Linked DNA regions of Sus scrofa. Each later gene encodes a partner of the first gene's protein in a complex. Links are inferred from orthologs where the notes say so. Each region holds a gene or a part of one and is shown on either strand. Other genes may lie near its edges.

Evidence for each region. Proteins that work in one complex are often made in the same cells at the same time.
Region 2: PPP4R3A (region 1) and PPP4C share a complex: the UniProt entries of both Homo sapiens proteins name them as parts of the PP4 complex. The link is inferred for Sus scrofa from reciprocal best matches to the Homo sapiens genes PPP4R3A and PPP4C.
Region 3: PPP4R3A (region 1) and PPP4R1 share a complex: the UniProt entries of both Homo sapiens proteins name them as parts of the PP4 complex. The link is inferred for Sus scrofa from reciprocal best matches to the Homo sapiens genes PPP4R3A and PPP4R1.
Region 4: PPP4R3A (region 1) and PPP4R2 share a complex: the UniProt entries of both Homo sapiens proteins name them as parts of the PP4 complex. The link is inferred for Sus scrofa from reciprocal best matches to the Homo sapiens genes PPP4R3A and PPP4R2.
Region 5: PPP4R3A (region 1) and PPP4R4 share a complex: the UniProt entries of both Homo sapiens proteins name them as parts of the PP4 complex. The link is inferred for Sus scrofa from reciprocal best matches to the Homo sapiens genes PPP4R3A and PPP4R4.

What each region holds. Positions count from the first base shown.
Region 1 is NC_010449.5:113,123,630-113,128,195, reverse strand, and holds part of PPP4R3A (serine/threonine-protein phosphatase 4 regulatory subunit 3A), read left to right. Parts: intron 1-1,334; coding exon 1,335-1,412; intron 1,413-1,494; coding exon 1,495-1,611; intron 1,612-2,313; coding exon 2,314-2,469; intron 2,470-3,389; coding exon 3,390-3,521; intron 3,522-3,621; coding exon 3,622-3,724; intron 3,725-4,566. UniProt on the Homo sapiens protein: Regulatory subunit of serine/threonine-protein phosphatase 4. May regulate the activity of PPP4C at centrosomal microtubule organizing centers.
Region 2 is NC_010445.4:18,261,383-18,266,377, forward strand, and holds the start of PPP4C (serine/threonine-protein phosphatase 4 catalytic subunit), read left to right. Parts: upstream 1-1,434; 5' UTR 1,435-1,552; intron 1,553-1,778; 5' UTR 1,779-1,844; coding exon 1,845-1,942; intron 1,943-4,995. UniProt on the Homo sapiens protein: Protein phosphatase that is involved in many processes such as microtubule organization at centrosomes, maturation of spliceosomal snRNPs, apoptosis, DNA repair, tumor necrosis factor (TNF)-alpha signaling, activation of c-Jun N-terminal kinase MAPK8, regulation of histone acetylation, DNA damage checkpoint signaling, NF-kappa-B activation and cell migration.
Region 3 is NC_010448.4:98,461,312-98,466,393, reverse strand, and holds the start of PPP4R1 (serine/threonine-protein phosphatase 4 regulatory subunit 1), read right to left. Parts: upstream 3,562-5,082; 5' UTR 3,451-3,561; coding exon 3,444-3,450; intron 3,353-3,443; coding exon 3,308-3,352; intron 2,732-3,307; exon of another isoform or gene 2,666-2,731; intron 1-2,665. UniProt on the Homo sapiens protein: Regulatory subunit of serine/threonine-protein phosphatase 4. May play a role in regulation of cell division in renal glomeruli. The PPP4C-PPP4R1 PP4 complex may play a role in dephosphorylation and regulation of HDAC3.
Region 4 is NC_010455.5:54,323,281-54,328,538, forward strand, and holds the start of PPP4R2 (serine/threonine-protein phosphatase 4 regulatory subunit 2), read left to right. Parts: upstream 1-1,697; 5' UTR 1,698-1,942; coding exon 1,943-1,976; intron 1,977-2,979; coding exon 2,980-3,061; intron 3,062-5,258. UniProt on the Homo sapiens protein: Regulatory subunit of serine/threonine-protein phosphatase 4 (PP4). May regulate the activity of PPP4C at centrosomal microtubule organizing centers.
Region 5 is NC_010449.5:115,410,796-115,416,029, forward strand, and holds the start of PPP4R4 (serine/threonine-protein phosphatase 4 regulatory subunit 4), read left to right. Parts: upstream 1-1,673; 5' UTR 1,674-1,838; coding exon 1,839-1,958; intron 1,959-3,461; coding exon 3,462-3,535; intron 3,536-5,234. UniProt on the Homo sapiens protein: Putative regulatory subunit of serine/threonine-protein phosphatase 4.

The sequences.
Region 1 (4,566 bases):
TTTTTGTTAGCTACCTGTTCTGTGCTTGTTTGATTCCTGGTTTCCTTGGATAATCCTGAGTGCTGCTGGTACTTTTCCTTAGCTCCACATGGTTCTCATTTTGTTGTATAGGGATTTGTCACTTCTGTGTTTTCTTGGTCTTCCTACCTGTAAAATGCCAGTTTTACTCATTAAATACGAATAATTTCAAGTTACGTCTTTGTTTCCCTACAGTATGCTCTGTAAAATGCTGGCTGCCAGTTGTGTGGGTCTTTCTGTTTCTGTTGATGCAGAGTGTTTATATTCAAAATACTGTGAAAGAAGGAGAGTTTACAAATTTCTTTGATGAGAAGCAGTTCTTAACCCATCTTATACACAGTCATAACCCTTGCCCTTGACTGATTTCTATGTAACACTGTTAAAACAGTCTTGATTCTCTAAACTTTGTGGCAGTCTGGAGAATCATTTTTAGTCATTTGATTTCCATTTGGTGGGATATATTTTAGCTGGATCTTGACATTGGAGATGACATTTAAGGTATGGCCTATTTGTACATTAGGCCATAGAAAAGTAAAAGTGGGAATCACTAGCATCACAGAAAATGTTTCTTAAACACCCACGGCAGCGAATGTGGGGTTTATAAATCCGTGGAAGGTCTCACACACACATACACATATTTAGACTTCGGCGGCATGTCTGTAAGGCTGAAGTAGTATGGAATTAAAATATAATAAAATCTTAATTAAAAATAGTTATAGACAAAATTGAACAGGAAGTCAGAAATGGTTTAATGTAGAATAATACGTGTTAAGTTATTTTGTATTTGTTTTGTGTGTGTATCTTTAAATAATAGATGTTTCTTAATTCCAAAGTTCTGAATTTAGCTTTTTAACTATTGCTGTTTTTAAAATGTGAAGGAAGTTTTATCTTCCTTTGAGAGGTTGCAGAAGCCCAGTGAAAATGAGGGGTCTACCAACCGTGTTTGTTTTCTTTCATAAAGTAATACTCATTCATTGCCATATTGCCTGTGTCTGCTTCCTACTGTAACAACATAACAGAGTAGTTGTGGTAGAGACCATATGGCCCACAAAGCCCAAAATTTTTTAAATGTGGCCCTTAACTACCTTAGGAAATAGAGCCTTGCTGAAATATAAAGTATAATCTTTCTGTATAAATCCCCAGTTTATCCTTTAATAATTTTTTCCTTCTCTTTTAAAAAACAGCATTGCCAATACCATCTTTCCCTTTTCCAGTTATTGCAATTTATATCTTCTACAGTAACATCTTGAAAATGTATTTTATTATATACTCTTACTATTATTAGCATAATTAAAATCTATCCTTTGATTTCACAGGAAGATGAAAAATTTCTGACAGATTTGTTTGCACAATTAACAGATGAAGCAACAGATGAGGAAAAAAGACAGGAATTGGTAAGAAATTTGATATTATAAAGGCCATGAAGCTAAAACAATACAACCTATTATGTTCACTTAACCTTTTTCCTAATTTCAGGTTAACTTTTTAAAAGAATTTTGTGCGTTTTCCCAAACGCTACAACCTCAAAACAGAGATGCTTTTTTCAAGACTTTGTCAAACATGGGTATATTACCAGCTTTAGAAGTCATCCTTGTAAGTTTGTTTCTCCTTATATTTAATTACCATTATATTTTTAACCCACAAAATAGTATATTTTTATGTAACATGCAACTGTTTGATTATAGCTAATATTTAACATCAGCTGTGTATTACATAAAGTTAAATAGCTATAAAATTCTAGTATTAAGAGAGTCCTTACACAGTGCTAAAAGGACAATTACGGAATTTTCCATATTTTTAACAATTTAACTTTGCATCATATTAAAATGCTGGAGTTCCCGTCATGGTTCAGTGGTTAACAAATCCGACTAGGAACCATGAGGTTGTGGGTTCAGTCCCTGGCCTTGCTCAGTGGGCTAAGGATCCAGCATTGCCGTGAGCTGTGGTGTAGGTCACAGATGTGGCTCGGATCCCACGTTGCTGTGGCTGTGGTGTAGACCAGCGGCTACAACTCCGATTAGACCCCTAGCCTGGGAACCTCCGTATGCCGCAGGTGCCGCCCTAGGAAAGACAAAAAGACAATAAATATATAAAATGCTAGAGGAGAAAAATAAACGGGAAAAAATGAAAGTATAACTTTATCCCATAGAACAGTAATTTTACATACAACATAATTTCCTTGACCTCTCCTTTTTATTGAAATATATTCTTATAATTTGTTAGGGTTTAGATTTATATAGCTGCAAGTTCCATATTTTTATTATTATAGAAGAAATAAGTGCTTTTTACCTGCAGGGCATGGATGATACACAGGTGCGAAGTGCTGCTACTGATATATTCTCATACTTGGTTGAATATAATCCATCCATGGTACGAGAGTTTGTCATGCAGGAGGCACAACAGAATGATGATGTAAGTAAGAAGTTAACAGAGCAAAAAATAACCAACAAGGTAAATATTATCTTCACTAACAGTAAGTATTTATACGTGGGGAGCTATAACTATATTTATTATTCATTTCTTAAAGATTTAGTCAGTGTTTGAGAAAAGTATACCCATGATATCATGACTTATTCTTCCCCTAAATTGGCTCCTGAGTTTATAAATTGTTTTACAGCAGTTATTTGTTAATGCTCAATTTCAATTTCTTTTAAAATTTTTGAAATTAAGTTTTTTAACTCTGAAGTTAACTTGCTATGTTATAATGTTTAAAACCATTTCATCAATAAATTGTTCTTCTGTATGTGGAATTATGAATAACTTCCCTAAGAAAGCATTGGCTTTGCTAGGGATAGAGGTCTCAAAATTATCAAGAATGATGAAGCATAGTCCTTTGGAAAGTATTTAGGATGCTTTCTTTACTGCCTGACCAACCATAGGGAAAACCATTTATTTTAAATGGAAACTTTATATCATTTCTGTAAAAGGAGAACAGATAAAGTTATCATTTGCCATAGAAGGAATCTATAAAAATGCAGTAAAAGAACAGTGTTATAAATTCTAGCTAGATAATCGTACTGTTAAAACTATGAAGCAAAGTCCCATTAGCTTTCTTCAGAAGAGAGATTTTATTATTAAGAGTTCTAAAAGATCTATTAGCACCAAACTGAAACTTTGTTTTTATTTTAATCCAGGGGATTTAAAGATAATAAAAAAAGAACTTTTTGGTACTATTTGTGTAATGTGTCTGTACCATACCTTTGGGAAACTACCATATATCCTATTAAAGATTCCAGTCAGTCATTTCATTTTGTTTGCAGTTAACAAGATAGCTAGAGCCAGGTATAATGCTATAGCATGTGTCATAGTATATGCTTTTTCCATCCTTACTCTTAGTAAGTGATCCTTATTATGTATATTTTTCCCACCAGGATATTTTGCTCATCAACCTCATTATAGAACATATGATTTGTGATACAGACCCTGAACTTGGAGGAGCAGTCCAACTTATGGGCCTGCTTCGAACCTTGGTTGACCCAGAAAACATGCTAGCTACTGCCAATGTAAGCCGTGGGCATTTTTCTCTTTTTCATACTCGTGTAATTTTGATTGCTGGTAGGAACCAATGCAGTTAAAGTTCATGAAGTGTTTTTGATTCCTTAGAAAACAGAAAAGACTGAATTTCTGGGTTTCTTCTACAAGCACTGTATGCATGTCCTTACTGCTCCATTACTGGCAAATACAACAGAAGACAAACCTAGCAAAGGTAAGATAATACAGGTTGGTAGTTAAATTCTTTGTTCTTAAACTTTGAAACTCAGAAGGTTGGTGTTAATATAGAGGTTTAGTAACATATTTTCAAAAGAGGTAATTTCAAGGTAAAATTTCTTTCAAAAGTGCTATAATCAGGAGTTCCCATTGTGGCTCAGTGGTTAAGAACCCAACTAGTATCCATGAGGCTGTGTCTTTGATCCCTGATGCAGCTTGGATATGGTGTTGCTGTGGCTATGGCATAAGGTGGCAGCTACAGTTCCAATTCAACCCTAGCCTGGGAACTTCTATATATCACAGGTGCAGCCCTAAAAAGAAGAGAATGTGCTATAATCAGAGATAATAGAACTGTAAAAGAAAATACTTAAGATACTTATTTGCTGCTTTCTGAATTTTGAAGCCATTTTTTTGTTAAAGCACTATTTGTATTTAGTTTCCATTTACATACGGAAACAAACAGCGTGAAGTAGCTCTGAGACAATTCATTTTAAGTTATTTGTACTTGAGGTGTGTAGACTGAGCAAAGCTGGTACTCAGTATTAAGCTGTTTTTATTTGCATTGAAGATTATTACAAAGTTAGGATTATTTATTTCTGCATTTTATTCCCTTAGTGTGTGTGATTTAGAAAACAGTTTTAGGGTCTTCTTGGGAAGTTCCTTATTAAAGCTTTGCGAATAAGTTACTTTGTCATATGAATTATCAACATAGTATATTTAACTTATAGTGCCACTAGAAAATGTTTAGTTTACCTTTTTTGTGACTCTAGAAATCAGGTCTTAGAAACATGATACTCATTTCTCCTATTTTACATACTATGAGTAATGCTTGAGGCCTCT
Region 2 (4,995 bases), on another chromosome or scaffold:
ATAGAGGCTCTAGGAGTTCCATTATGGCACAGTGGTTAAAGAATCCGACTGGGAACCATGGGGTTGTGGGTTCCATCCCTGGCCTTGCTCAGTGGGTTGAGGATCCGGCGTTGCCATGAGCTGTGGTGTAGGTCGCAGACGCAGCTCCGATCCTGCATTGCTGTGGTTCTGGCGTGGCCGGTGGCTACAGCTCCAGTTAGACGCCTAGCCTGGGAATCTCCATATGCCACAGGAGCGGCCCTAAAAAAGGCAAAAAGACTAGGAAAAAAAAGAAAAGAAAAAGAGAGGGCCCATAGAAGACAATAAAAGACATTCCAAAAGGGCTCTGACACCAAGAGGTTTGTTTCAAGACAAATCGCTTCCTCTGCCTGCAGCAAGAGACTAAAGAAGCAGAGGACTTTAAATGTCAGTTTGGAGTGTTTTATAAAGTTTATAATGACAAAGTGAGCATCAGAAAGTGTGACAGAAGAGACCAGACCTTGAGGACACAGCTTTCCTAGGTTAAAACATCAACCTTGACCCAAGCCCAGAATTATTAGCTATGTAACTGTGGAAGTTAATCTCTTTTAGCCAGTTTCCTTTTTTTGTTGTTGTTTTTTTGAGGGCTGCACCCACAGCATATGGAAGTTCCTAGGCTAGGGACTGAATCTGCCTGCCACAGCCACAGCCACACAAGATCTGAGCTGCGTCTGCAATCTAGCAACCTGCATCACAGCTCACAGCAAGAGAGATCCTTAACCCACTGAGCGAGGCCAGGGATGGAACCCTTCACCTCATGCATACTAGTCGGGTTCCGTACCCCTGAGCCACAACCGGAACACCAGTTTCCTCCTTCTTTTTAAAGGAATAAAACTGCAGACAAGAGCAGGGGTGAGGGGTGTCAAAGAGACCTTTCTGGAACCAGGGAAGTCAGGTTGACTGAGGTATAAGCTTGTTGTGGGGAAGGTGGACTCCTTTCTGACTCTAACTTCAGAGGTCCTCCATCGGAGAGATGTCTCTTGGGCCTTGGAAAGAGATTTGGACTGGGAGTCTTTCGCCCATCCAACAAAGAGTTCTGTATGCCAACTGTGCCAGGCCATGTTCTAAGTGAGAACTGGGGCTGCAAGTGTGAACAGGACAAAATTCCATCTCTCAGGGACTGTAATGGGGGAGGCCGACTAAAACAGGTAAACAGAAACGTGTACGCTGAAGTTACAACGCGGAACGCCGACTCAGTTCCAGTTTCCTTCACTGACACGGTAATGTGGAGCGGATGTGGAGTCCGTCACCGCCCTCACAGCGCCAATCCGCTCAGCCCACAATCACTTCCGCTCGCACATTGCAGACATCCGGTTCTTCCGGCTCATTTGCATTCCTAGGCTTGAGGGGGTGGGGTAAGGGCGCGGCTTGGGAGGGGGGCGTGTGTATGACGCCACATCCGGCGCGCGGCGGAACTGGTGTTCCTCTGCTTCCGCGGCGGGGCCGGAAGTAGAAGCGGAGGTGGCGGCGGCCCAAAGCGGAGGGAAAGAGGAAGACAGGGAGCACGAAAACCGGAGCCGGAGTCGCTGCGTCGGTAATAGTCGGAGACCCTTCTAGGCCACCGTCCCTGGCGCGGGACCTCAGGGTTCGACGGGAGTTAGCGGAGGGCGGCCCGGGCTGTGGGACGCTGGGGGCCCCGGGGCCTATGTGAGGGGAGGCGGGAGTTGGGGGGGCCGGGCCAGCTCCAGAACCGAGTTGCCCCCCCCGACCCGGCGCCCCTTAAGGACACTGATCCGCGGCTTCTCCTTGGCCTTTCCCAGGAGACCCCTGTGCGGTGCGGAGGGGGCTACGGCCCCGGCTCTGACCCGCTCCGGGGCGGGTGGGCCATGGCGGAGATCAGCGATCTGGACCGGCAGATCGAGCAGCTGCGGCGCTGCGAGCTCATCAAGGAGAGCGAAGTCAAGGCCCTGTGCGCAAAGGCCAGGTGAGCCCGGGAAGAGAGGCTTCAGCCACTGATCAGAGGCCGGAAGCTTGGGGCAAATCCAGCTGAGAACTTTGGGCCTGGCTCATCCTGGAAGCTTTCCCAGAGAGGAGCGAATAGGGCCACTTCCCTCGAGGAGCAGCCGGGCCTGTTGGGGGAAGACAGACCTGGATTCAAATATCTGAAGTATTAGATGATGTGTTTTCAGTGGAGTTGGAATTACAGAAAGTACTTAGGAAGCTTAGGGAAACAACCTTGTCTGTCTGGGGGGGAACAGAGAACGTTTCTTGGAGGAACTGAACTTTGGGTTAGGCCTTGAAGAATAAGATGATAAAAGGGAATGTCAGCAAGAAGATTTGGTTTACAGTATTCTTTTTTTTTTTTTGGCTTTTTAGGGCCGCACCTGTGGCACTTAGAGGTTCCCAGGCTAGGGGCTGAATCAGAGCTTCAGCTGCTGGCCTACGCCACCAGCCACAGCAATAGCAATGAGGGATCCTTAACCCACTGAGTGAGTCCAGGGATCAAACCCACAACATCTTGGCTCCTAGTCGAATTTGTTTCCGCTGTGCCACAACGGGAACTCCTACAGTATTGTTTTAATCCCAGTAACAACCCAAAAAGGTGTGTGGAATTGTCTTCATCTCACAGGTGAGGATGCTTACATTCAGGAGTAAGGGGTAAAGCCTGAAGCGAGTTCTCCATGTCCTGTCCATTTTCAGGCCATCATGCAAGAAAGTGGAGTTGGATCACACTCATACTCCTTGTGGGAGCCTATGAAATAGAAGCAGATAAGCCAGAGTAGAATTAAGCAAGATCTGAAGGGAAGCCTAGCTTAGAGTTCTGTGGGAAGTAGGATGATGTAGTGGTTAAGAGCCAGGCTTTGGAATGTGGCTCTAGGTTGGAATCAGCTCTGCCACTTCCTAGCTGTGTTGGTGATCTTGAGGTCTGTGAGACTCGGGTTCTTCCTATTTAAAGTGGGGATTCTAGAACTTAATGAGGTGGCTGTGAAGAGTAAGGGATGCGCTTAGCATAGGCTTTGGTAAACTGTAAGTGCTCGATGTTTGTTGGGTGTTACTGTTCTTCCTTTGTAGGAAGAGGGCAGTGCTGATGTGGACTGAAGTCCTTAGTGAAGGCTTGAAAGAGAAGTTGGCCTGGAAAGATGGATAATTTGGGCAGCTGAGTGGGCAGGCCTAGTAGGAAGGGCATTCCAAGCAGGCTGAGAATAGGAGTGGAAGGTGTTCCCTGGGGGCTCAGCGGGATCCAGCATTGTCACTGCTGCAGCTCAGGTTACAGCTGTGGCACTGGTTCAATCCCTGACCCAGAAACTTCTACCTGCCAAAGGCATGGCCAAAAAAAAAAAAAAAAAAAAAAGTGGAGCTCTGGGTTGTGTGGGCAGTGGTGACAAGACGACAAGACCCATTACCTGCCTCCTGAGGAACTATTTGTGGTTTCCACCACGCTGGAGAATTGCAGAAACAGAGCCAGCAGAATTACCCCCACATTTGTGACCAATAGGCCACTGTTAGCACCTGAAAGAACTTTATATCCACTTCCTTCCCACAGCAATGCTGTGAGGTTGGAAATATTTGCCCCATTTTACAGAGCAGGAAGCTGTGACGTCTTGAAGCCTGGGGACTTGACCAAGGCTTCCCCGCAAGAAGGTGGCAGAGCTGGCTGGCCGTTGGGCTCTTTGCTTGGCTTTGCCCCACACAGACCTGTCACAGCCACACAGGGCCTGCATGGGTTTGGTGAACAGGCAAGGCTCCCTTTTAAACGCTGTTCTGTGGCTCTTCATGTTTTGCCAGCTCAAAAATATTTCCTTGACCAGACCAGCCCCAAGATGTTTTTAGTCATCCCTCAATCTCTCTCTGTTTGTTTGTTTGGGTTTTTTTTGTCGTTGTTTTTTTAGGTCCGTACCCATGGCATATGGAGGTTCCCAGGCTAGGGGTCCAATCAGAGCTACAGCTGCCGGCCTACATCACAGCCACAGCAACTGGGGATCCGAGCCGCATCTGCAACCTACACCACAGTTCATGGCAACACCGGATCCTTAACCCACTGAGCGAGGCCAGGGATCGAACCCGAATCATCATGGATACTAGCTGGGTTTGTTGGCACTGAGCCACAATGGGAACTCCCATCCCTCAGTCTTGATTGGCATTTTTAGGAACTTAAACCCATTTCTGGCTGGCACTCTTCTTTTCCTCAAAGTCTTCTGCCTCCCACAGGGCCTGGATCAGTGTGGTGGTGATGACAGCTAATGCTTGGGTAGCATAGTGGAATTTTCAGAATAGCAGAAGTTAGGTGTTCAGCCTCCATTGCTTTTTGCAGCCTGTGGAACAGGCAGGCAGTGGTGAGTGTTTCACAGAAGAGGAAACTGAGCCTCAGAGAAGAGGTCTTGCCCCCGGTCTTACAGCTCCTTGGAGGGGAGGCTGGTTTTGGATTCAGGTCTTTGACTGGACTCCACACTCACTGACAGCCAGGTAGACATTTAGACTGTGAGAGGCAGCAGGGAGCTACTGAGGGATGTGGGGTCCTGCCCAGATGAAAGCGAGGTGGAGCTTGGAGGTCCAAGCCTCAGGCCTGGGGTGGCCACTGCTGTTCCAGGCCCAGTCTGGAGGAGGACCAACTCTAGCACCTGGCAGTAGGTCTAGCACCTGGGGACCCACCAGGGGCCAGGCTGAGGCTGGTAGTGTCAGTCACTTCAGCTTGCTCAGACGTCATGGAGACTCAGGTCCTTGGAATCACAGAGGCCCAAAGCACATGAGCTCAACTTGCTCCTATTGAAAACATCACATCAAGAGTTCCTGTCATGGCTCAGTGGTCACAAACTCGACTAGCATCCGTGAGGATGCGGGTTCGATCCCTGGTCTCACTCAGTGGGTTAAGGATCCGGCGTTGCCATGAGCTGTGGTGTAGGTTACAGACGTTGCTGTGATCCTGTGTGGCTGTGGCTGTGGTGTAGGCTGGCAGCTGCAGCTCTGATTTGACCCCTGGCCTGGGAACTTCTGTATGCCGCAGGCATAGCCCTAAAAAGCAAAATCAAACGAAATCAC
Region 3 (5,082 bases), on another chromosome or scaffold:
TTTTTCTTTTTAGGGCCGCACCCGTGGCATATAAAAGTTCCCAGGCTAAGGGTCGAATTGGAGCTGTAGCTGCTGGCCTACACCACAGGTCACAGCAACACCAAATCCTTAACCCACTGAGCAAGGCCAGGGATCGAACCTGTGTCCTCCTGGATACTAGTTGGATTCATTTCTGCCATGCCACAATGGGGACTCCTCAAAAAGTTAAATTTTAAATCAAACCCCTTCCATGCAATTCTTTTTATCAGCATTACCTTGTTAAATCTTACTTAAGCCCCATCTCAATGTATTCTAGAAATCTAGCAACTCAGATGTACATCAAGATGGCGTCCTTGAAAAACTGACAGCAGAAATCTAAATGAGAGCCTGTCGGTAACACTTCGGGCCTCCCATGGTCCCAGGAGCGGGCAGGGTTCCCCAAGCTCTGGAGTCACTCTGCTGAGATGGTGTGTCACCCGCCAGCTTTCACTCAGAAGTGCACCGTGTGTTTCTTCAGTGTTGGAAGGATCACTTTCTACCAAGAGGAGTGTACAGTTTTTCAGTGCATTATTCTCCTGCGCTTGATTTGAACAGTGCCTTACGACTGGGTCACTTACCTTTACGACCTGTGGAGAAGTACACATAAGGCACCACTTTTCACACTTTGGGGTTTTGTTCCTTTTTCTCCAAGAGTATCTGTCAAGTTCATCTCTGACCAACCCTTTTCTACCTACGTTTCTACTCACTCTGCACAGAGACTTAGGGGCTTAAACCCGACAAATGACCTGAGACCCTGATCAAGGTCTGGCAAGAACCCCCTTTTCCAGATCTAGGCCCACCCAGTCCTCCCTGGCCCCCAGCTGCTCAGCACTTGCACAAGGGTATTTACTCTCTTTTCAGTCTTAGTCCAAGTTCTGCATTTAGAAAAGGCAACCGAGATTCTGGAGCTTGAGCAGAAACAAGCTTTCTTGGCCTCCACCAGCTCGGCCAACACAGTGCAGTTGTGAGGGCAGCCCAGCCCACTCTCCCTAACATCCCAATGTCCCAGCTTCTCTTCTGGCTCTGGGTGTGACATATGACGAGCTTCCCATTTCCCTCCCTTCCCACCTCGCCTGGACCGAATGTCCCCCTCACCCATCCCAACATGACAGATGCCAACTGCTCCTTCAATTGGCCATATATTCGAAGATCCCCTGCTCCTGAACATCTTGGGTAATGTTATCACCTGTAAAAACTGTAGCAGCTTAGAAAAGTAAGCAATGATTCTAACCAACTACAAATATGCAAATAAATTATCTGTTCCTTCAAATGTCTCACGCTTTATCCTGAGTTAAAACACACCGGACAACACTGTAAATCAGCTACAAATGCATTAATACACCCACACACAACACCCCACTGGGTACTAATAGGACCTTAAAGAAGTTAACTGCGGAGTTCCCATTGTGGTGCAGTAGAAACAATCCAATTAGGAACCATGAGATTGCGGGTTCGATCCTTGGCCTCGCTCAGTGGGTTAAGGATCCAGTGTTGCCGTGAGTTGTGGTGTAGGTCGAAGACACGGCTCAGATCTGGCATGGCTGTGGCTATGGCCAGCAGCTGTACCTCCGATTAGACCCCTAGCCTGGGAACTTCCTTATGTGGAGGATATGGCCCTAAAAAGCGAAAAAAAAAAAGGGGGGGGGACAACAAACAAGCAATAGTCACCATCTACCAGCCACTATTCTAAGTGTTTTATATGCATTTATTTGTGCAAGGCTCTAAACAACCCTAGACTGTGGGTAATAGTAATTACACTAATCTAAAAACGGCAACATAAGGGCACAGGGAAGTTCAGTGAGTTGCCCGAGTCTGTCCAAAGGGGCGACATGAAGACTGGAGGAAAGCAGTCTGGCCTCTGAGCCGTCTAACAACTACTGTGCGAGCATGCCCCCACACCCTCATTATCACACTTGTATTAAAACTGCGTGTAAACCACTAGAGGGCATGGATTGTGACCATCCTGCCCACTGGTAGATCCTCAGTACCAAGCAGAACTCTGGAGGGTCATGAATAAATCATGGTTGAGTTCTTCACAGGTATGGCTTCTCTTCTAGGTTGCGTTCCCTAAGGGTCAAGGGCACAACTAACAGGACAGCTCACTTTTTAACCTTGACGAATGCATGGCACCTAAGTGGTAAGAAATGAGTGACAGCCCTTAACACCTGCTGAAGGAATGTGTTTTCTATTTACAAAACCTTGAACCTGAATATAAGCATGAGACGCCCCTGCCTCATCAGAGCCACGTCTTCAAGCCTAACTGTGCAAAAAACCAATAGCTACCTTAACATTTTAAGGTCACTAGGAGGGAGACAAGTGTCCTAGGGTAAAACATCACAGGAAATGTAAAAGTTGTCTTTAACTACCTGAGCGCTGCTCCCTTAAAAGAGCTCGTTACTTAAAAAAAAAAAAGTAAACTTATATTTTGCCAAAAATAAGTTTACATATGGTTCACTCACTTAAAAAAAAATACTCTTTTTAAGGAATCCTTCTAAAGAGTAAATCGCCCTCACTTCACTCAAAACACCCAGTCTTTAAAAATTGAGCTTATTTGTGGCAAGGGACACATTACACAATGCAAAAAAAGATTAACTACACGGCATTTAAAAGAGCTATTTCAAAGTGCAGCCACCTCTGTATTACTTACATCGACAGTAGCCACAGTAAATCTCAGCTCTGCCCGAACACACCACAAATTCTACCGCGGTTATCTCTGCAACTCAAGGACAATTTCCAAATTATTCTGTGTTCTCAGAAGAGCACACACGAAATGAACAAGTCCTTTCTGACGCTACTCTGGAAATGTCAAACTTTGTTTTGTTTTCCTTTCAGCCAAAGAATCGACTGTGAAAACTTGAGCATCTCCAAGAAAGCAGACATCTGAGTGTTCAAGAAGGCCTGGCGCCGTGCGAACCGCGCACCCTAGGAACGCGGCGGGGAAAGCGGCCCCTCCCGCCAGGCCACACCTTCCACCTTCCCGGCCCCCGGACCCCGGCGCCGGGAGACTGCGGGTCTCCGGCGTGCGGTGCCGCTCCGCGCGGGAGGCGCCCAGACCCTGTCCACGGTCCCAGCCCTCTGGCCCGGGAGGGGCCGCGGAGGCTCCCGGGCGCCCGCCTGCCCCGGCTTCCGCCCGCCGGTGCTCCCGCCCGGCCGCCGAGCCGCCCCCTCCGAGCCGGGCCGGGGACCGAGGGCCGGGGGCCGGGCGTCCCCACAGCCGCCGCCGCGCCGGGATCGGCCTCTGGACCCCACCGCCCGCCAGCCCCCCGCCCCGAGGCCGGCGCGCACTCACATCCGTCCGCGTCCTCCTGCAGGTCCTCCTGGAGCAGCGACAGGTCTGCGCCGAGGGAAAGAAGAAAGCCGTCAGCCCGCCGCCCGCCGCCCCCGGCCCGCGCCCCCCGCCCGCCGCCCCGCCGCGGGGCCCGTACCCGCCATCTTGCGGCGCCCCCTCCTCCGCCGTCGCCCGGGGACCGGGGCTACAGCGCGGCGCGCGCGGCGGCCGGTGGACGCGCGCGGGAGGCGGTGCCGCGGGGGCGCGCGGGGCGGGCCGAGCGCGGCGGGCGGACCCGGCCGCCCCTGCCCGCGCGCCGGCCCGCCTCCCGCCTGGCTCGCTCCCGGCCGCCCCGCCGGCGCGCTCTCGGCTCGGCCCGCCGCGGTACCGCGTGCGGTCGGGCGTCGTTGCCGCCGCCGGGGGCCCGCGCCGAGTGCTGGGCCGGGCGACCGGGGCGGGCGGGGCCTCGCGCCGCACGCTTTGTTGGGTCACGGCGCCGCCAGTTCGGTCGGCGGGGCTCAGCCCGGCCGCCACTCTATACACACACAGACACACACACACACACACCCCGCCCTGGCGGCTGCGCGCGCGGCCTCTGCTCCGGCCGAGACCGGGGCACTTCGGAGCCGGGAAGCGCGAACAAAGCCGCCGAGGGCCAGGCGCGGCGGGGCGGCTGGGCTCAGGCCGGTTCCGCCCCCTGGGCGGCGGGCGCGCGCGGGGCGGAAGTAAGGGCGATCCCCGACCTGGGGTTACTAGGATGAATGAGGGACAGCTGGGTCCGAGCGTAGGGTCCCTGACCTCCGCCGGTGCAGGAGGAAAGGCTTCTTTCTAGCTGTAGCTTTTATCCTGAAAGTGTTGAAACAATTTTGGTGGTATATGAGGTGCTGGAGTGAAACCTGTATCACAGGTTTTATTTTCCCTTGTTTTTACATGAGTTAAATGACGAGTACGACCTCTTCCACTCGAGGCCTCGGAAAGGCTCAGCTCCTGAGTGGGGAACAAAACAATGAGGCATCCTTACAGTTTTCGGAACAGGCCAGTTTAAAGTGATGCCACGTTGGGGGTCTGGACTCCTGGGGAGCAGAGAGAATTCCAAATGGTCTGCACTGTGGCCTTAACCAAGGGCACTATTACATTTAATGCCGTTAAAGACCCTCTGAAATTCATGATTCTGTGTAATAAAGTGGATTCTACTAGCTGTTCCAAAAACTTGCCTCGCAGATGCTACAAGATGGAATGCATGTTGCATAGTATATGTTAAGTTTCTGGGAGTAATAATAACTGGAATAGCACCTACGAGTCTAGTTGTGTGTCTTATTTTCTCAAATACAGAGTAATTAAAACTAAGAGCCAAACTGTCACGACCCATTTCTTCCCTGAGAGAAGGCCCTTCCCTGAATTCAGGTGACACTAATTCTCAAAATGACAAGGAGTTAGAAATTCACAGGCTATCAATTGACTCAGCCTGTAAGCATTTTGCCCAATGACACCTACCACTTTAACAATTCCGGGTGGAGGGGGGCAGGCACAGGATTTGGCTCTTTACACGAAGCGGTGATCTCCTTGCAACAACACAAGATCCAGGTCGCCAACTATGCTTCAGCTCCTGGACACACAAAAATAAGGAAACTATCTGGATGGTCTACCCAGTAAAGGCAGACTTCTAATTCTCAATGATTGTGCTGAAGTAGAGGTTACATACCCAGTGTTAGCCAGGGATGCAGAACGGCTAACCCTGCTTTTGCCTCACTGTGTTTTATCTCACTTTCTCTGCATTGGCAGCAGGGAGGAAGGTG
Region 4 (5,258 bases), on another chromosome or scaffold:
ATAAGACTATTTATAATTTGAGCAGGATGCTTGGAACAATGAAATGGTCTAAAGATATTCCAAGACTGGTTCTCTTACGGCCAAATTGAGAAAAGTTTTTTTTTCTTTCTTTCTTTTTTTTGTTTAGGGCCACACACACAGCATATGGAGGTTCCCAGGCTAGGGGCCAAATTGGAGCTGTAGCCACTGGCCTACACCACAGCCACAGCAATGCCGAATCGTTAACACACTGAGCCAGGCCAGGGCTTGAACCTGTGTCCTCACGGATACTAGTCAGATTTGTCTCTGCTGAGCCATGCATGGTGGGAACTCAGAGAAAAGTTTTTTGGGTTTTTTTTTTTTTTTGTCTTTTTGCCATTTCTTGGGCCACTCCCATGGCATATGGAGGTTCCCAGGCTAGGGGTCGAATTGGAGCTGTAGCCACCAGCCTATGCCAGCGCCACAGCAATGCGGGATCTGAGCCAAGTCTACAACCCACACCACAGCTCACAGCAACGCTGGATCCTTAACCCACTGAGCAAGGTCAGGGATTGAACTCGCAACTCCGTGGTTCCTAGACGAATTCGATAACCACTGAGCCATGACGGGAGCTCCAGAAAAGTATTTTTTTTTTTTTTTTTTTTTTTGAAGGAGGGCTTTTGCCTACCTCTGCCACCTGGGGTCAGGGTCAGAGCCACTATCTTTTCAGAGGGTTAATAGTTACAGTGCCTGTATCCAAATTCGCAGTTTCAACACCAGTCTAGATAATAGCCTTCTGCCCTCCCTTCGTTTCTTGGCTTTTTACTAGGCTTTGAGAAGAGAAGGTGGAACAATTCAGTATCTTTTCCTTAAAAAGCTCACAGACAAGAGAAGATAATAAACATGGCCACACACTAGCTGGTTGCCAGATGTTCTAGGCTCTGCTGCTATTTTGCCAGACTAGCTAGCTCTCTGTGCCTCAACTCTCCCATTTGTAAAATGTCAGGGCAGGAGAGGACTTCTGAGGTCTCCGCCCTCTCTGACTTCCTGGGCACTTACATAATGTAATCAAAATTATAATGATAATAATAACAGCCGCATTAGCAGAGCCGCATTATGAATTCTAGGCATCGCGCTCCATGCTCCAGTGTCATTTCACTCAATCCACAGGACTGTTTTGTTAACTCCCATTTTGTGGATAAGAAAACTGAGGCTACTTGAGTTTAACTAACTAGGTCACACAGTAAATGGTAAATAGTAAATAGCAGTTGGGTTTTAAATCCAGGGATTCCGTTGCCTAAGCTTCTAATCCCTTTGCTGTGTGCACTGCTTCTCTTCAAGGGTGGATCAGTGAGGAGTTCTGGATTCAAGCAGGGAGGTATTTTTGTCACGATTATTAGCAATGACTGTTTTTTTGTGCGTACTCTGACCGCTATACTGTATACGGTGGTCCATACTAGCGCCCTCAGTGTACAGATGGGGAAGTGGGATTCAGGCTCAGTAAACTGCTCAAGGTCACACAAATAGCAAATGACAGGGGATCATATCCTGGAGGTCTGCCCCCACCCTCTCCACCTCCAGCTCAGCTCCCGCACCTCAAGCGCCGGGTTAGGGAAGAAGCAGAGAGGCCGCCGCGGACCAGGTCTGAGGGCTGGCTGGGTCTGCACGCCTCCGCCGCGCACGCGCTCTCGGGCTCCGGGTCCGGGCGCGCCGCGGGCGCGAGGACGGCAGCTGGGAGCGTGCGCGCGGTGACGTGCCGGGCGCCATGTTGGAGGGCTGGTGGTAGCGGCTCGGGGAGGTGCTCGCTCTCTCGGTCTCGCTCTCTTGCTCGCTTCCCCCGGCTCCCTTCGGTGCCCCCCCCGGTCGCCTGCGTGCCGGAGTGTGTGCGAGGGAGGGGGAGGGCGTCGGGGGGGTGGGGGGAGGCCTTCCGGTCCCCGGGAGACCCGCGGAAGGAGGCGGAGGCTGCGAGGGACTCCGGGAAGCCATGGACGTCGAGAGGTTGCAGGAGGCGCTGAAAGGTGGGGGTTGCTGCCCCCTCTCCCTTCCTCTCAGTCTTCGAGGCCCTCTCCTTTCTCCTTTTGCGGCGGGGGGCTCCGCGGGCCTGGGCCGGGCTGGGAGGAGGGCGCCCTTCACCAGCTCCCCTCCCCCTCCCACCTCCCCAGGGGCGGGGAGCCCCGTGGGCAGCTCCCTCCCGCCCCGCTCTGGGCTTTGTGTCGGCCGCCGGCGTCTGGGCTGGGGGAGGGGAGCCGGGAAGCCTTCGCTGGGGCCCCGGCCCCTCTCGTACTCCCCGAGCCCGGGTCGTGGGCCCTCAGCCCCCTCCCAGGCGAGCTTCGTTCTCCATCAGGCCCCCGCACGCCGGACTTCGTGGGGAGAGAGAAAGTAAAAGGTTTCGGGGGGTGGGTAGAGGGGCGGCAAAGCAACTTTCAAGTGTCTCTCGGAAAGCCTTTTTCGGGGCCTCTGAAGTCATTTCTTAACGCGCCCTAATTTTAAGGTGGTTGCCTTCCCCGCTCTGAATTGGCAGGCTGGCCTTCCATGCAACAGGCTTGGGAACAGTGGTTCTCAAACTTAGGATAGCGTGATTTCAGCGTTTTGAGAAATAGGCGTTTTTGGGAGATAGCTACAAGAGGTAGTTGGTGTTTCTTAAAATGTAGATTTATGAACGTACCTTAAAAACAATTTGTGGGCATCGGGATCTGGGGTTTGTATTTAATCAATCTCAGATGGATCTGGTCTTGGTGTTCCCTTGGACCACACTTTGAGAAGCATTGCATTAAGGATGGTTTGTGGAGAAATTTAGTGCCCCCTTTAGGACGAGTCTTGTTACCTGTGAAGAGGTACATTTGAAGTCGAACTAGGAGAGTCAAGAGGTGGATATTTGGTTGAGAGGCTGATTTTTAAAAATTTTTAAATTGATGCTTAATATGAGGAAGGACTGGGAGGAAAGTTTGTTTTTAGAGGACATTGGAACTGGTTGGTGCACTTTGAGAAATACTAATAACTTTTCTTTCTTTCCTTATCTAGATTTTGAGAAGAGGGGGAAAAAGGAAGTTTGTCCGGTCCTGGATCAGTTTCTTTGTCATGTAGCCAAGACTGGAGAAACAATGTGAGTGAAAACACGTAGTCGTTGTTATAGTTCAATGTATCCTTCAGAATTGCTTAGACAAGGGACTAAAGTCTATTTCAGAAGCGTTGAATAATTCATCTGTCTAAACTGTACAAGCCCAGTAATTTAAAGCATGTGTTAAGTGTATATAGCTTTATTTACTTCATAGTGCTCTATAATGAATTTTAAGAATTTGTTAAAATTTTCTTTGTGCGTTTGCACATGTAGTATTTATTATTCTCGAAGAGCTAGAGAAAGGAAGACTGCATATTCCATTATGACCACTTTTGGCCATAACAAACAGGCTTATTTCCAGAATTTTGTGGCTTTGATTCTGTTTCAGATTCTTTTGGTGGTATTTTCTCATATTGTCCAGTATTCAACCTTTTGTTGTTGTGTTTATATATGTGGGTGCTTGAAGTTTCACTTCTGTTTATTCTCTTGAGCTCTTAGGGTGATTATCTGACATATTCCAGATGCTACAGTTTTGACTGTCCTGTAAACTTTCTAGGATAGCTAGCTTGTTAACATATGCTCAGCATTTTATTAGGCTTGTTTCCAAATGTTGTGATGAAGTTGAGAACTGTTTCCAAAAGAACATTTTAGTTCATTGTTGTGTGTGTAGTTTGTTTGCCAGGAGTTTTCACACTGAGTCTACGTTTATTTGTAGAGAGAAGTGCAGATTTGGTGATTTACTTGTAATCTTTGTGTGAGGGATAGGGAGCTGGAAGGGGAGAGGTTTCTTTGGATGTAGTATTAAAAGGGGGGCTCTTTTTGGCTCCTCTATAAATGCCTAGTTTTATTTATTTATTTATTTATTTTTTTGAGATCTAATAGAAGAGTATTAGCTTCCACAAGTGATGTGTACTTGCTTTGGCTTTATTACCAAATGTTCGTTTCTCACAAGATTGCTTACATTTGCAACTTAGCCTTCTGATAACTAGCCTGATTTTAGAAAGAAAAAAAAAAAAACTATTTTAATGGTCAGGCAGGCAAGCTGAAACTCTTTAGTGCTTATTAAAATTATTAGTCATCTTAAGAATGTGACATGATATGTTCAATCTTAAATTTTTTATCTAGTACTTTTAAAAATGGAACCCTTTACGGGAAAAAAAAGGCAAATTTTTGCCTCAAAAGTACAGTAGCTCAGATACCTTGATTTAAAAAAATTGATGCAGAATGACTGATTTGTATTTGTATTGGTTGCTAGTGATCCAGACTTTTACCTGTCTACAATATCAAGAGGAATAGCATTTTACTTTCAGAGTTTTGACAGACAAGATTATTTGGAGTTAAATACTTAAAACCTCTAGGTCTATACCAACTGCCTTCCCATTTTGATAAAATGCATTGACCGTAAATGCGTAAGTAGTTGAAAGTTTCTATAAGAAAGCTTTTAAATATCCTGTCTGACTGGATCACTAAGTGCCTGGGGAAATTTAACCTGATTTTTCTGGACAATTATTTTTCCTGATAGAGGACTTAAGAGGTCATCAGTTGTCTCAACCCTGTCTCTTGTCCACCCCCACCCTCCAATCCTTAGGGGTTTTTTTACATTTACTAAAGTATTTTGTATAAAAATGATTGGTGGTGTTAGTTTCTTCATGGAGTTTGGAAAATATTTTAAAATTTATGATTGAAACGGTTTTTACATTTAGCTTTTATTTACCCTTTGTTGATTTTTTAAAAATCAATATGGGCATACCTTAACTTTTGATACATTAATTTGTAGTTTCTGTCATCATTTACGGGTAAACTGAGTTTGGTCTAACTTGTAACATTATAAACATGAGAGTGAAGACCTAAAGAATAGCAGTTCAGATCTTTTTAATGTTAGGTTGGATGGGTCCCTTAATATTAAGAATTCTGGGAGTTCCCTTCGTGGCTCAGCAGTTAATGAACCTGACTAGGATCCATGAGGATGCCAGTTCAGTCCCTGGCCTTAACTCAGTGCATTAAGGATCCGGCGTTGCTGTGAGCTGTGGTGTAGGTTGCCGACTTGGCTTGGATCCCTAGTTGCTGTGGCTGTGGGGTAGGTCAGCACCTGTAGCTCGGATTCAGCCTCTAGCATGGGAACCTCCATATGCCACGTGTGGCCCTAAAAAGGAGAAAAAAAAAAAAAAAGAATTTTGGGACTTCCTGTTGTGGCGCAGCAGAAACGAATCCAGCCAGGAACCATGAGGTTGTGGGTTCGATC
Region 5 (5,234 bases), about 2.3 Mb from region 1:
GCTATAGGGGAAAAGAATGTGAAAAAGAATGGCTGTGTCTACATTTATAACTGAATCACTCTGTTGTACAGCAGAAATGATCACAACATCATGAATTATACTTCAATAAAACTTTAAAAAAATGAAACAAATGAAAATTAAATGTGATATTACTTTACCAATGCCAGATTGACATGAATTAGGACATGATACCAAATGTCAGCACATAAAATGGAGAAACAGGAACTTTCCTATCTTCATAGGCCATTGGTGGGAGTGCAAACTGGCAAAGCCATTCTGGAGAGTACTGAGGCCGAGTGAAGCCAAGCAATACAGACACATGACCCAGCAACTCCATGTCTTTCTTATGGTCCATAAGAGACAGGTGTAACACCCCTTCCAGCATGGTCTGTGATAACAAGGAATTGCTGGAAACCCAACTGTTCCTTATTTAAAGAACTGATAAGTAAAATGTGTTAGAGTGGGTAAATCAAATACTTTCGGTGGCTTGAATTAATGAACTCCTGGCATATATATATCTCCAGATAGATCTCCAAGATATGTTGAGGGAAAAACAAGAAACAGAATCCGTTATCACAGTAGCATTCATGTCTATTAAAAAATAGTTAAACTAAAAACAGTATATTTCCATGATATATACATGTACTGGAACATAGCTTAAACGAGAGAGGGTGCATATGGGGTGGGGAGTGGTAGAGAAATGGGAGCGTGCAGAGGGAATGAACATACCAGAATGACATAAAAAAGAGATGGGCCTTGCTCACTCTTAAGAGCTGAAGAGTATTATCAACAAAACGCTAGTCCCTGAGGTCCAAAATAATCGCCCCAATCCCCTCCCTATCGCTTCCTACTCTTAACACAATCAAACGCAACCAACTCAACGTGGCTGCTTAGAGTTGGCCTCTTCCTCTCTACCTTGCCAAGCACTCGGTTTCCCGCACTTCAAGCTCTACTCCGACTGCATGCACGTCCTACAACCAAAACACGCCCAGGCTTCAATCCGAAAGGGGCTTACTCTTACTTCTTTTGGAAAAGTCTTAAGATTCAGTTTAACTCCTCTCAGGGAATCCTGTAATGCCGGCGGTCTTTCCCTCAATGCTAGCTCCTCCCAGACGGCACTCCCTAGTACTCCCCTCTCCATCAATCCAGCACACACCAAGTTCTATTTACTTATTTTGGGTACACACCGCTCCCCCAAGGCTAGAGCAGAGTTACGGTGGTCTCCGCATCCACAACTAGAGCGCTGGGGAGGGCGGCCCCAGGAATAACTGCACGGTTAGGTGACCCTAACAAGTTAAGCAAGATCCCAGTCCACCTCCCTCTCCTTTTTTCCCCTCGTACTGGTACACCACCAACCCCGGACCGGGTTACCGACCCCAGCCCACCCCCACCGGCTGCAGGAGGTGGAAGTCTCTGCGCACGCGCCACAGCTGGGGCGCGCGCTCGACCGGGGGCGGGGCGAGGGGGAGGGGAGAGCAGAGAGGTGAGGGTTGCGGAGGGGGCCACTGCGACGTTGCGTGGCAGTTGCGTCCCGCCCGCCGGCCGGCAGAGCCCGGGAGGGGGCGGGGCTGAGGCGGGCACCGCCCCCGCTCCGGCCCCGCCCCCGTAGCTCGCCCGCGCGCCTCGCCCCGCCCCCTCGCCTAGGCCGCCCCGCCCCTCGCCTAGGCCGCCCCGCCCCCCTCGGCGGCCGTGCTCCTTCTCCCGCCGCCCGCTTGCCTCCCGCCCGGCTCTCGCAGCCGAAAGCGGGAGAAAGTCCTGCTGGTGGGCGGCCGTGGGGCTGCGCACGTCCGGCATCCCGGGGTCGCTCCGGCCCGGCCGGCGAGGGGGCCCGGCGGTCCATGCATCCGCCGCCGCCGCTCGCCGCCGCGATGGATTTCAGTCAGAACAGCCTGTTCGGCTACATGGAGGACCTGCAGGAGCTCACCATCATCGAGAGGCCGGTCCGCCGGAGCCTCAAGGTGCGCCCCGGGGTGGAGGAACTGCCCGCAGGGCGCCCGGCGGCTTGCCCCTGCCCCGACCCCCGCCCCTCCGCTCCCCGAGGCGGCCCGGGACCCTCTTGGAGTCCTCCTGCCCCCCCAGTCCTCCTTCAGTCCCCGGTCCCCGTGTTACCCTAACATGGCCCCTCTCGGGTCCCCTTCCTCGACGCCCCCCGGGCTCCCCCAGCCTGGACCCCCCGACCCCGAGGGACGGGCACCCGGGGCCCGCCCGCGACCCCTCGGACGCCCTCGGTTCTCTAATTCCCCCGGCCCAGCTGGCCCTGGGCCCTTTCCCCAACCCGTCCCTCTAGGAACGGCCAGCCGAGCCCCTGACATTCGGACCAGCCCCGCGCCGTCCCTCTCGTACAGCCAGGGCCCCTCGGTTGCAGCCCCTCTTCCCGCGTCCCTGCGGTAGCTGCCCCTCGCAGTCGCAGCCGCAGCCAGCTCAGCCTGGGTCCTTTCCTTGCCTCCCCGCTTTGGCTCCCTGGTACTGCTGCCTGGGTTCTGGCCCCAGTCCCATTCCTCAGTCAACACGGCCCCGACTCTTGCCCCTGCCTCTTCCAGAGATACGCCAGATCCCATCCCCCCTCCGCCCCCATCAGAGCAAGCCCAGGTTCCCCAGTGACCCCTTCACTCCCAACTAGCACCCATACTAGAGTCGTCCGACCATGGGTCTTCAAAGCTTTCGCGACCCTTTGTCCCCATCCTGAGTCACCACGCGTCCTCTCCTCCCAGCCCCTCTAGGACTCTAGCTGGGACCCTGCTCCCCAGCCCCCTTAAGGGAGTCAACCTTCACTAGCCCCCCACCCCCACCTCCCACTAGCTCCCCCACCCCGCAGAGTCATCTTCCTCCCAGAGGCCCCAACCCTTCACTGCTGGTAAACCTAGTTGACAGGACCCGACCTCCCTCCCGCCCCCCGCCGCAACACACAGACACACAGACACGCATCCACTTAATAAGTCCTTCAGCTCTTTTCAGTCTCACCTGCCACAATAGCTGGAATCTTTGATTTCCTTCCAGTTCCAGAGTTTAGTCCCTTCCCCACCCAACCCCCCTCCAGATTTCGTCTTTCTCATCCTCACTCGGCTGCAGCCTTCATTCCCCCTTTTAGCATTTCCTGGGCTAGAAAATGCTGGCAAAACAGTCTTGGGATAGTAGAGATTAAAAGTATGTATATATTTTATATATGCACATAAAATTGATTTCAGCACGGTTCTGAAGCCACAATGTCATTCTCCAGCTTCAGTCTAGAAGCTGGAAGAGTAAAGCAAGGAAAAAAAAAAAAAAGCCCCAAACCCCCAAACTCCACCACCTAAACCCAATAATTAGAGAAGCCTGTGGTTTGAGCTCGTCAGACCCTTGATTAGTTTTCAATGACAGTGCTTAATTGTGAAACTTTTTCATTAGTCTCTACTCATATAGGGTCCCTGGAGGCAAGACTGATCAGATGTTTGTGTGCATAATTTGTATTTTACACTTGACAGACACCAGAAGAAATAGAAAGACTGACAGTTGATGAAGACCTCAGTGATATTGAAAGGGCTGTTTATCTGCTCAGGTACTTCATAAAGTCTTTTGGTGATAATTGCTGCTCTTTTCCTGGGGCGGCATCCACGAGTGACTTCTGAAATGCCCTGTTACTGTTATGTTCAGATTTACTTAACCACTTGACCAGAGTACTTTTTGCATGCATAGCACTTAATGGTGTTAGGAATTAAGATTTAGATATGGATTTATAACGTTGAAAATGAAAATCAAATCACCCAACTGAGAGAATATTGTTTGAGGAGGAGGAGCAGAACAACTGATGGTTTGAGTTGAATCTCATTTAAAAATTTTTGCAGCTTTGGTTCTCACTTAAGATCCAATAAATTTAGATGAGACTTAAGACTATCCAAGTGATTCATTTTAAGTGAATTGTAGAGTATGATTTTCTATGCTATTTACTGAACAGAAAAAAAATCCACAAATAGGGTAGTTCAATTTTTTTCTTCAGCTTATCCTGTTTATATTACTTCTGCTAAGTGAGCTTTATAGTTTTGCCTGAGAGATTTAAACATTTAATTGAGCCTATTCTCACTTAAATTTCATCTCACAAGCTCTACAGAATTGCTTAAGGCTAATGGCTTTTACATATATTTACAAGATTTCTCTCAACTCTCTTAAAAACTGTATTGTGGATTTTGCTTCTTAAAAGCTAAGGTGACCCATTAATGAACAGATCTAAAAAACTTAAATAGAAATTTTCTCAAGGTATTTTGTCTACATTGTTTTAGAATTTTCGTTGAACTTGCACAATTTTTTGGTCCCTTTTTTGGCTAGTTTTCTCTTTAGTTTTTCAGAACCTGGTGGTGGTTACCTCCTGGAATATTTGTCATCCTTGTTTCCTTAGCTCAGGTCTGCGTTGCCAGTTTCAGTTTCTTGTTCTTTCTGGCTTTATAGATCAGGTTTCTGGTCCCATGTGAGTCAGTGAATGACCCTGTTTTTTTTTTTTTTTTTTTTTTTTAAAAAACCTCTTTCCTTGACTTCCATTTTCTTAATTATTTACAGCCTATTAGTGACATTTTGGGTTCTGTTCCTATTTTAGTCAGAATTTTAGCATGCTTACAATTTGGACATTTTCTTCAATAATTCTGCTATGTAAAACTGTTTCCGGATCATGGCCTTTATGTTGCTGATATTTCCCCATCTCTTTTGTGATTTATCATCATTTCTACTTACTTATTGAAAAGAGAATGTTTTATTTATGTATGTATTAGCGGCATATGGTTTTGGCATTTACATAGAGAATACTCTGTTTAACCTGTTCTGGTAATTTTTTGCATTACATGTGAAGGCTTTCTTCCTTAGGGATTAACACATCCAACATGGTGAACAGTAGCTGTAAACACCTGCCTTTCCCCACAGTTCTTTTGTTTGGAGTAGGTAGACAGTTGGTGAAAATTAGGATAAGTTTCTTTTAACATAAAGCAATTAATAATTTGAAGGCAGTGCCTCCTTACTCCTACTGAAGCGTCGCTGTATAAATGCTGGCTTATGGTTAAGAAATGAAGAGTCTTGCTCTACTTACTGGTGACAGCAGATACTTTATTCTAGATATCAGTGACAAGGCTTCTTTTTTAGGATAGCTTATTCTCTATTTTGCTTTTATTGTTAGCGAACCAGGTCATCTTAAGTGGTCTGTATTTCTCGGACACAGAACATAAGTTTCATCCAGTTCTGAAACTGACAAAGCCCTTACAGAGACAGACTGGTCC